2 linked regions of the Caenorhabditis elegans genome follow. The protein of the gene in region 2 interacts with the protein of the main gene of each other region in a pairwise test. Each region holds a gene or a part of one and is shown on either strand. Other genes may lie near its edges.

Region 1 (4,960 bases), on a different chromosome or scaffold from region 2:
CACAAACAATTTACAATAGTCCAAAAAATTTCAGCATACTGGAAAACCAGGCCAGATTGAATGCTCCCGAGTTTCGGCGGGGGGTGCGTGTAACTACTCGGTTTGTTTGACAATTTGGAAGAGCTGCGAGAGAGCGAAATAGTGTTGATTTTGGGGAGTGCGCAGAACGGGTGAGCTAGATTTTCGGGTTGGTTGCACGTTTTTTTTCTTGCTCGGTTGTGCATGAGACGCGCGCGAGCAAGGGTCGACCTGAGTTTTTGACACGTCACAGTTATAGATACCATGCATTTAAAAAATAATTAACAATCGAATCTCAAATTTCATGTATTTTAACAAATAAATAGCCAAAGTATTTTAACAGAACAAATGAAAAAAACAAAAAAAATTCGGTGCCTCATGCTGGAATCGAACCAGCGACCTTCTGTTTACTAGACAGACGCTCTGCCACTGAGCCAATGAGGCGCTGGGTGAAAGGGGGAAAAAGGTCGAAGAAGAGACTTATGTCGCTGCCGCTGCCGGCGTCGCACGAAGACTATACTTTCGGCGGTCGTAAAATTGCCGGCACACGCCAACCATAATTGTCGTACGAGATACTTGAACGAAGAATGTGACGTCGGCGTCTGGAATCATTGATTTTTTGATTTTTTTGAAATTTTTTCAGATTTTTAGAGACACTAACGATTTAGGCTAACTCTCGCAGTCGGAGCCAGCGCACAAACGGCGTCATCGACCATTTGGAGCACGGAATTCTTCGCCACAGAATCGTTATTTCTCGCTTTAAATTCCACGGAATACGTGGGAAGTTTGCCAGTGCCGTCTGCCTTCAATGTGTCGGAGATTACCTGAAAAATTACTTTTTTTTATTTTATTAATTAATTTAATTAAATAAAAGCACCTTCATCAAAACTTCATTCATTTTTGAAAGATCCACAGCTAAAGTATGCTCCACCGGGTAAACTCGTTGCAAAAACCTGCAACGCGGAGCTTTTTGCGTCAGCTCGACCATTTTTTCGGCTAAAAGTTGAATATTCGCGTTTTTCACGCTCACAAAAATGCAATTCTTCACTCCCGTCGGTCTTTGAATGCATCTTCTCTCTTTTTTCACGAAATTTCCCGGCTTCGGCTGCCTCTGATCATCACAAGCCTTTTTCAACGCATCGGCAATGTCTTCATCGGAATCTTCAGCTTCTGCTGGATTTCCGGGTGCTTCTGAGCCTTGTGGAGCAGCTTCTGGTGCTTTAAGAGAGATTCCATTCGCCGGGTCTTCGAGAAGCTCGTCAATAATACTGTAGGCTTCTTGTAGGGCCTGCTTTTCGTGGCCTTCGCAGGAAAAGAATAGTCCGGTCACTCCGGCTTCCACAGATTTTTGTTTAACTCTGAAATTGTCTTAGAATAGTTTTTTTTTCTCAAATTTTAGCTCTCACTTTTGATTCCATCGGTTATGCTTTCGTTTTCTGTCGTTATCTGCCATTTTCAGTGATTTTTTCTGGAAAAATTGAAATTTTTGAATGAAAATTATTGTTTTTGAAGTTTTTTAACGAAAAATCAACGAAAAATGCGAAAAAAACACATAAAAACAATTAAAAACAAAAAAAAACAATTAATATTCCCTCCAACTTCTCTAAATCTCTTCTCTCTTGCACGTAACCACAGAGCGCGTTTGCACACCTTTAATTGCAGAGTCACCACCACTTTATGTGAAACAAACTACGAAAAAGAGGCGGTTCTTTACAGCGAAACTTGAAAAGAGCAGCCTCACTTGATAATTAGATGAAAAAATTTTGAATATACATTTACTATTTTGACGGAAACGCTGGAATTTGCGAAAATTTCGTGATGGCGTGCAAAATGACCCGCACCTTTTTCCGGTATTCTTCTTCTAGAAAATATATATTTCCTGAAAAAAAAGCTGAAATTCACAATTTTTCGAGCAATTTTTGATGTATAATAAGTATATATCCCGAACAATTTACCAGTTTTTTCCCGATTCACCAGTAAATTTGCTTCACATTTGAACTGAACTATAGGTTATCTCGAGATTTTTATCTATGTACCATGTGTTGCGACATTACGAAAAAAACGAGTTCCGACACAAAGGCCATGCAATTAGGTAGTAAATTGGGTGACTAACTGTGTGACGCGGCTATTATGGGTACGCAGAAAAATCCACGTGGAAACGCGCTCCACTGCCAATAGGAAATTCTCGGCCCCCGCACCATGACCCGCTAGGTGTTTGGCGGCAAAATAGTACATTCGAACGTTTTGGATTAGTTATGCCGATTTCGCCGGTTTCCAAGAATTTTTTGCCATTTTTTTCCTGTTTCAAATTTCCCGTGGTTTTAATGTTTTTAGGCCAAATTGGTGTTTTTAGGCCAAAATGACGAATTTCTGATTACCCTCATAAATTGAAATGGAAGAGTTTGCCAAACTAGGCCATTTTGGCTCGGCCATTACTGGGGTAGATTTACGGCGAGTTGAGTGTCGCGCCGCGGCTCGATTTTAGTTGTAAAACTAAATGCATTTGTCCGTGTGGAGTACACGATTTACCCACGCGTTTTCCTTCGGACGATTATCAATGGAGCGCAAAAAATTCAATGAGGAAGGGTAGAACCCCGTTATTTCGGCAATTTTCCTGTTTTAATGATTTTTAGGCCAAAATCACGGGGTTCTGTCTTTCCTCAGAGAATTTTTCGCGCTCCATTGACAATCGCCCGGCGGACAACGCGTGTTAAAATCGTGTACTCCACACGGACAAATAGACTTAGTTTTACAACTAAAATCGAGCCGCGACGCGACACGCAACGCGCCGTAAATCTACCCCACTTATGGCCGAGCCAAAATGGCCTAGTTTGGCAAACTCTTCCATTTCAATTTATGAGAGGGAAGCCAGAAATCCGTGGTAGCTTACAAAATGAAATTCCAGAAAAAGTAAAATAGTTACCACCTACCGTATTAGAGCTTGACGGCATAGTTGGCGCCTCCGCGGTAGATCTGTTGAAGGTCCACATGTTTTTTTTTCGTGGTGTGTGTCGCCTGTCAGTCTGGTATTCTAGATGCCAGCTTCTTCCTCTCTCGATTCACTTCCCGCCCCCTGATTTTTTTGTGTGTGTCTGCGCCCCCACAGTGTCTCTCTCAACCTGTCTTGTACGTCCTGCGTCTTTTGTTACAGCTTCTGGTATCTTCTGAATATACCACAGCAGGAGGGGGACAGTCAGTTGATTGGCAGACAAAAACATGGCAATTATTTAGTGACAAGCTTTATGATTGTAGGCTTTAGGGTCTGGAGACTTGGGGATAGGACCCTGAACGGGATGTTTTGTTGAGGATGGGCACTTTGACCTCCAGAAAGCGCGGGAAATTATTGAAATTTGTGACGTCATATGAGTTTATAATGAGGCGCCAGTAGGTCAAACGATTTCTGTAGGTCAAGCCCTGAATAATGTCCGTCACAGTCGGCTGGTGCGTTGGAGCACATTTGATTATATTCAGGCCATTTTGACTCGGCCACGGCTGGGGTCGATTTTTGCCGGAATTGAAAATTTTCGGCAAATCGGCAAAATGCCGGAATTTAAAATTTTCGGCAAATTGGCACATTACCGGAAATGAAAATGTCCGGCAAATCAAGAAATCGCCGGAATTGACAATTTAGGACAAACTGGCAAATTTGCCGGAATTTAAAATTTCCGGCAAATCGGCAAATTGCCATAATTGAAAATTTCCTGCACATCGGCAAACTGGCGGAATAGAAAATTTCCGGCAAATCGGGAACTCGCCGGAATTGACAATTTCCGGCAAATCGGGGAGTTGCCGGAATTGAAAATTTCCGGCAAATCGGCAAACTGGCAAATTGCCGGAGTTGAAAATTTCCGGCTAATCGTGAAATTTGCCGGAATTCAAAATTTCCGGCAAATCGGCAAAATGGCAAATTGCCGAATTTGAAACCTTCCTTTGCCGAACTGCAATTTCCGCTCACCGATTTTCAATGGAGCGCGAAAAACCGCTACTAGAAGCCCGTGATGATGATCTACTGTAGATCAATGTGAAATTTTTCCCGCGTCCGGGCATAGAACAAAAATTTTATTTTTTAAAAACCAGCTTCTCTTCCTCCTAAAATTTCCCTTTTTATCGCCCTACCCCTCCCCCTTCAACCCAGATTTCTCTTATCACCCCCCCCCCCCCCCCATCACTAATTTTCTAATTTTCCTTTCACTTTCATACAGTAAGCGGCAAAAAATAATTGCGAAGAAATAATAATTCATTACATATTGAGAATTTCGGGGGACTACTAGATAGAGATAACCGGTGCTGCAGCAGCTCCAATAAGCTTCTTCTCCTCGGCCTTCTTTTTGAGCCAGTCGAGAATGTTCTTGTCACGACGAATCGCCACTGAATCCGTTGTCAGGGACTGAAAGATTAGTTTTTAGTGAAGCCCTAGGTACCTAGGCACAAAAATGCCTGCCTGCTTCCAAGCCGGCCTAGATCTTTTCTCACCTGTGGTAGTACTCCGCGCTTGAAGTTGTTCGAGACAAATGAGGTATACAGACCGGAGAATCCCGAGAAATTGGTGACCAAGTCTGAGGAGAAGCACAGGTACAAAGTGTTGCTCGTCGATGTTATTGGAGCTGGCATATTCTTTCCGGAATAACTGAAAAAATGGTTATTTTATAGTATCCTTGGATTAAGATCAGTGGGGGATATGGTCGGGGTACTGTAGGAGTATTGTAGGATTACTGTAGTTTAGGAACACTTGAGTTTTTGTCTTTTGAAGGGATATTGGTTTAGGGTCAGTGGGGGATATGGTCGGGTACTGTAGAATTTCTGTAGTTTAGGCAAAATTGAGTTTTTGTCTTTTGAAGGGGTATTGGTTCAGGGTCAGTGGGGGATAAGGTCGGGGTACTGTAGAGGTACTGTAGGATTACTGTAGAATTACTGTAGTTTAGGCAAAGTTCAGTTTTTGTCT
Region 2 (3,761 bases):
TTTGTGTTATAGGTACGCCAGAGAATAAAGATCCTGATTTCAATAATTGTAACAAAATATTTGTGCAATTCAGCTATCATGTTTTATTCGTTATAAAAACTTGAGATTGTTAACGTAACTTCCCCTTTTATTCAAATTTTGCTTGAATAGTTGCTCAGTCAGCAGAGATAGTATTAGGGTACAGTAAGTATATAATTGGATTACTGTAGTTCCATTAATTGTGCAATTTAGGTGATTTGGAGAGGTTATGAATTGGAATACGTCTGGGAATAGTATCAGGGTACATTAGAAGCACTGTAGGATTACTGTATTTTCAGTGTATTACGTGAACACTGAGAATGCGCATTGAGCAACATGTTCGACGCGCAAAATATCTCGTAGCGAAAACTACAGTAATTCTCTAAATGACTACTGTTGCGCTTGTGTCGATTTACGGGCTCGATTTTAGAACATAATTTATTTTCGAATTGTGACCGAAATATTTGAATTTCATCCTATTTTTCTTTTTTCTGTCATTCCGAGTCAAAAAGTGAAAAAGAACAAAGCAAAATCAGACCATGGCTACAGTAGTAATGTAAATAATTTCTGTATTTTTCGCTACGTGATATCTGTGCGCCAGACAAGTTGCACAATACGAAATTCCAGAATTTAGTTTTTCCGTATTAAAAATTTTTGCACATAGTATAACGCCTCATGTGTTAATAAATTACCCTTAAAAATTAACATTTCTTGTCCAAATTGAGGAAAAAGATCATTTTCATACTTTCATATTGTCATTATCAACAGGTGAATATAACATAATAATTTACTCCACGACAAAAAAAATGGTGAATATGATACTATAATACGGAAAAATTGAGGAAAAGCAAAACAGTGTTCGATACGAAATAGAAGAGAAGCGAAATTAAAGGTTCGAGGGGAAGGGAACGATGAAAACGAGATTTGTGTGTAGGTTTGTGTGCAATTACGCGCAAAAATCACAAAAATAGAATAATGGTTCAACAAGAGAAGAGAAACACGTTCATACTTCTTCTCGTTACACAACACTGTTTCAGGGAATATTTGAGGGAGATGGAGGGCGGAGCAGGTCAAAAATGGAGAGAAAAACAATGAATAACTTACATATTATTCCCGTCAGGAGCGGTTCCAAATGTAATCGGATAAGAAAAAATGTCGGATTTGGAAGTTAAGAAGAAATAGACGACAAATGAATTGGGGCTTTAAATAAAAATTGGGTTGAAAAAGTAGAAGAGGGCGATGGTGATCAAATTAAAAAGCCTAAGGGATGGGAGAGGGAATTTCAAATGGAACAGAGAAGAACAAAGAGAATGAATGGGGAGAAGAAAGGAGTTGAAACGAATAACAAAAACGGATGATTCGTAGTCGTTTATTCGTCGAAGGTGGATTCAGAAAAATGATTTAAGATCTATTCTTGAGCTGGTTGCTGAGCCAATCGAGTCCTTCATAGAGACCATCTCCTGATGTCGCACATGTGGCCTGGAATTAATTTATTATTGAAAAATAGTGAATTTCTTTAGTTTTAAAATATCAGATGAGAAACTGCTGATTAAAAATATCTCACCTGAATATACCACGATCGATTTCTGAGCGAGTGGAGCCCGAGCTTGTCAGTGACCTCAGCGGCGTTCATGGCTTGTGGAAGATCTTGTTTGTTGGCGAAGACCAGAAGAACGGCATCACGAAGCTCATCCTCGGCGAGCATACGCATCAGCTCTTCACGAGCCTCTCCAACACGTTCACGATCGTTGGAATCAACAACAAAGATAAGTCCTGCAAGAAAATATAATCAATAGAGCATTTTTTTTGGACAGTCTGTGAATTCTTGCGGGTGATAAGCTGATCCGCAAACTATTCTCGTAAATCACTAACCTTGTGTGTTCTGGAAATAATGCCTCCAGAGTGGACGGATCTTGTCCTGACCTCCGACATCCCACACGGTGAATGAAATGTTCTTGTATTCGACAGTCTCCACGTTGAATCCTGAAATATGAATAAAAATTATGACTCATTGTGAACCGTTCTTTCGCAACAAAAAAACGTCCCAATGACTCACCAATAGTTGGGATAGTCGTGACAATCTCGCCCAGCTTCAACTTGTACAAAATCGTAGTCTTTCCGGCAGCATCCAATCCAACCATCAGAATACGCATCTCCCGTTTGCCGAAGAGGCCTTTAAATAAGCTGCCGAACACGTTTCCCATTCTATAAATTGATTAATAAATTAAATTATTGAATTTCAGAAGAGGAACCGATGGAAGTGAAAAGGAACGCTAATAAAATGTGAAAGCTGAATCAATAATCTTCGTGGGAAATTGCGAAAAATTCGGGAAGATTTCAAATCCAATACGTGAAAATGCCAGCAACGACAATCGGAGAAAAAAGTACGGAAGACGATTGGAAGGAGGAAGAATCGGGTAAAACGTGGCAAGGAGATGGATATCTATAACAGGCGCAAGGAGCGAGAATCCAGCAGAAATACATCGGCTACACCGTCCAACGTGTCACTAGCACAGCAGTCTCTGGCGACCAGTGGAGTGTCTCTTCCTCTCTCAACCTCTCGACGCTGCTTTTTGTCTTGTTCGCTGGGCGCGTCGCGTGCGTTGCGCAGCGGTCGAATAAGAGGAGATAGATGGCAATAAGTGAAGAGACCGAGACGTGAAAGTACCGCAAGAGATGAGGAGAGAGCGAAAAAGAACAAGAGACCGTCCAAATTTGTCCGCTAGTGCAGGACGGAAGGATGAAGAACACATACACACAGGAACGAGAATAGTAATGTTCGAGTTCCTTCTACTGACTCCACGTCAGCCGTACGTTGAATCTTTCAATCCTTCAGTGAAATCTTGATTGATTGATTGAATGAACCCGAAAGTTCTAAAATTTGAACTTTGAAACAAACTTTTTCGAGTGATAAGACGATAAACTGCAACATTAAGAAAGTGATGAAAAATGCTTTTTGAGAGAAGAAAAACCTATTGAACGCGAGCGCATTGTTGAGAAATTTTGAAAATCGTGACGCAATTAAAAACTCTGAAAAAAGGACACGTGTCACAAGAGTGCAGCACGAGATACTGTGACTAATAAATAGAATCAGATGAGAAAATTAATATTAAATCAAATACAAAGCGCCAAACTTTCTAAATAGATGACCCGCATTTCCGACTAAAGCAATGTGGCGCTTCTGAAGAATGTGCTGGAGAAAAATGAAAGCTTAATAGAAACCGGCCGCCGCAGACAGTATAGATCAATGCCTTTGCGCCAATCTAGGATAGTTCATCTTTCCGCCTTTCAAAATGCCGAGAATTTCTTACTTTCTGCAGTAATTATTAGGAGTCACAAACCTTGATTTTCGAGCTTTTTGCGTTCAAATTCGGAAATAAATGAAATGACGATCAAATCAAAGATAAAATGTGACGATTGCAACGTCGAAGCAAGAAAAATTGGAGGAATAAAGTTAAGAAAGAACAAAGAAAAAAAAAATTAAAATCATTTATTTTCTGGCAATTCACGGCTAAATACGACGAAAACACACCGGTTTCCGCAAAAATACCTGTGTTTTATTGAAAATTAACTCGTTTTTTACTCGTCACTCGGGAGGGGCTCTTTTTGTACTCGTTCACTTTTCAGTGGCCCGTCTTTTATTCTTTCGCTGATTTTTTTTCGAGATCACAGCCATTATGTATTCTTTTACTTTATTTTTCTCATTTAGTGGAGTTATTGCTCTCTTTTGCTCTTTTTTGCTG

The links.
Region 1: the proteins of arf-1 (region 2) and kel-8 interact in a two-hybrid assay, tested with the Caenorhabditis elegans proteins (one study listed by BioGRID).

What each region holds. Positions count from the first base shown.
Region 1 is NC_003283.11:2,669,512-2,674,471, reverse strand, and holds the start of kel-8 (BTB domain-containing protein), read right to left. Parts: upstream 3,009-4,960; coding exon 2,949-3,008; intron 1,487-2,948; exon of another isoform or gene 1,472-1,486; coding exon of another isoform or gene 1,425-1,471; intron 1,377-1,424; coding exon of another isoform or gene 896-1,376; intron 843-895; coding exon of another isoform or gene 680-842; intron 621-679; coding exon of another isoform or gene 499-620; exon of another isoform or gene 305-498; intron 1-304. Other genes in the region: thum-1 (THUMP domain-containing protein), read right to left, coding at 499-620, 680-842, 896-1,376, 1,425-1,471; W02G9.4 (CUB domain-containing protein), read right to left, coding at 4,286-4,405, 4,492-4,645. UniProt on the Caenorhabditis elegans protein: Substrate-specific adapter of a BCR (BTB-CUL3-RBX1) E3 ubiquitin ligase complex that regulates degradation of glutamate receptors in neurons. The BCR(kel-8) ubiquitin ligase complex mediates ubiquitination and subsequent degradation of rpy-1.
Region 2 is NC_003281.10:5,714,577-5,718,337, reverse strand, and holds arf-1 (ADP-ribosylation factor 1-like 2), read right to left. Parts: upstream 2,224-3,761; 5' UTR 2,223-2,223; coding exon 2,075-2,222; intron 2,002-2,074; coding exon 1,891-2,001; intron 1,792-1,890; coding exon 1,583-1,791; intron 1,498-1,582; coding exon 1,420-1,497; 3' UTR 794-1,419; downstream 1-793. UniProt on the Caenorhabditis elegans protein: Small GTPase involved in protein trafficking between different compartments. Modulates vesicle budding and uncoating within the Golgi complex. In its GTP-bound form, triggers the recruitment of coatomer proteins to the Golgi membrane.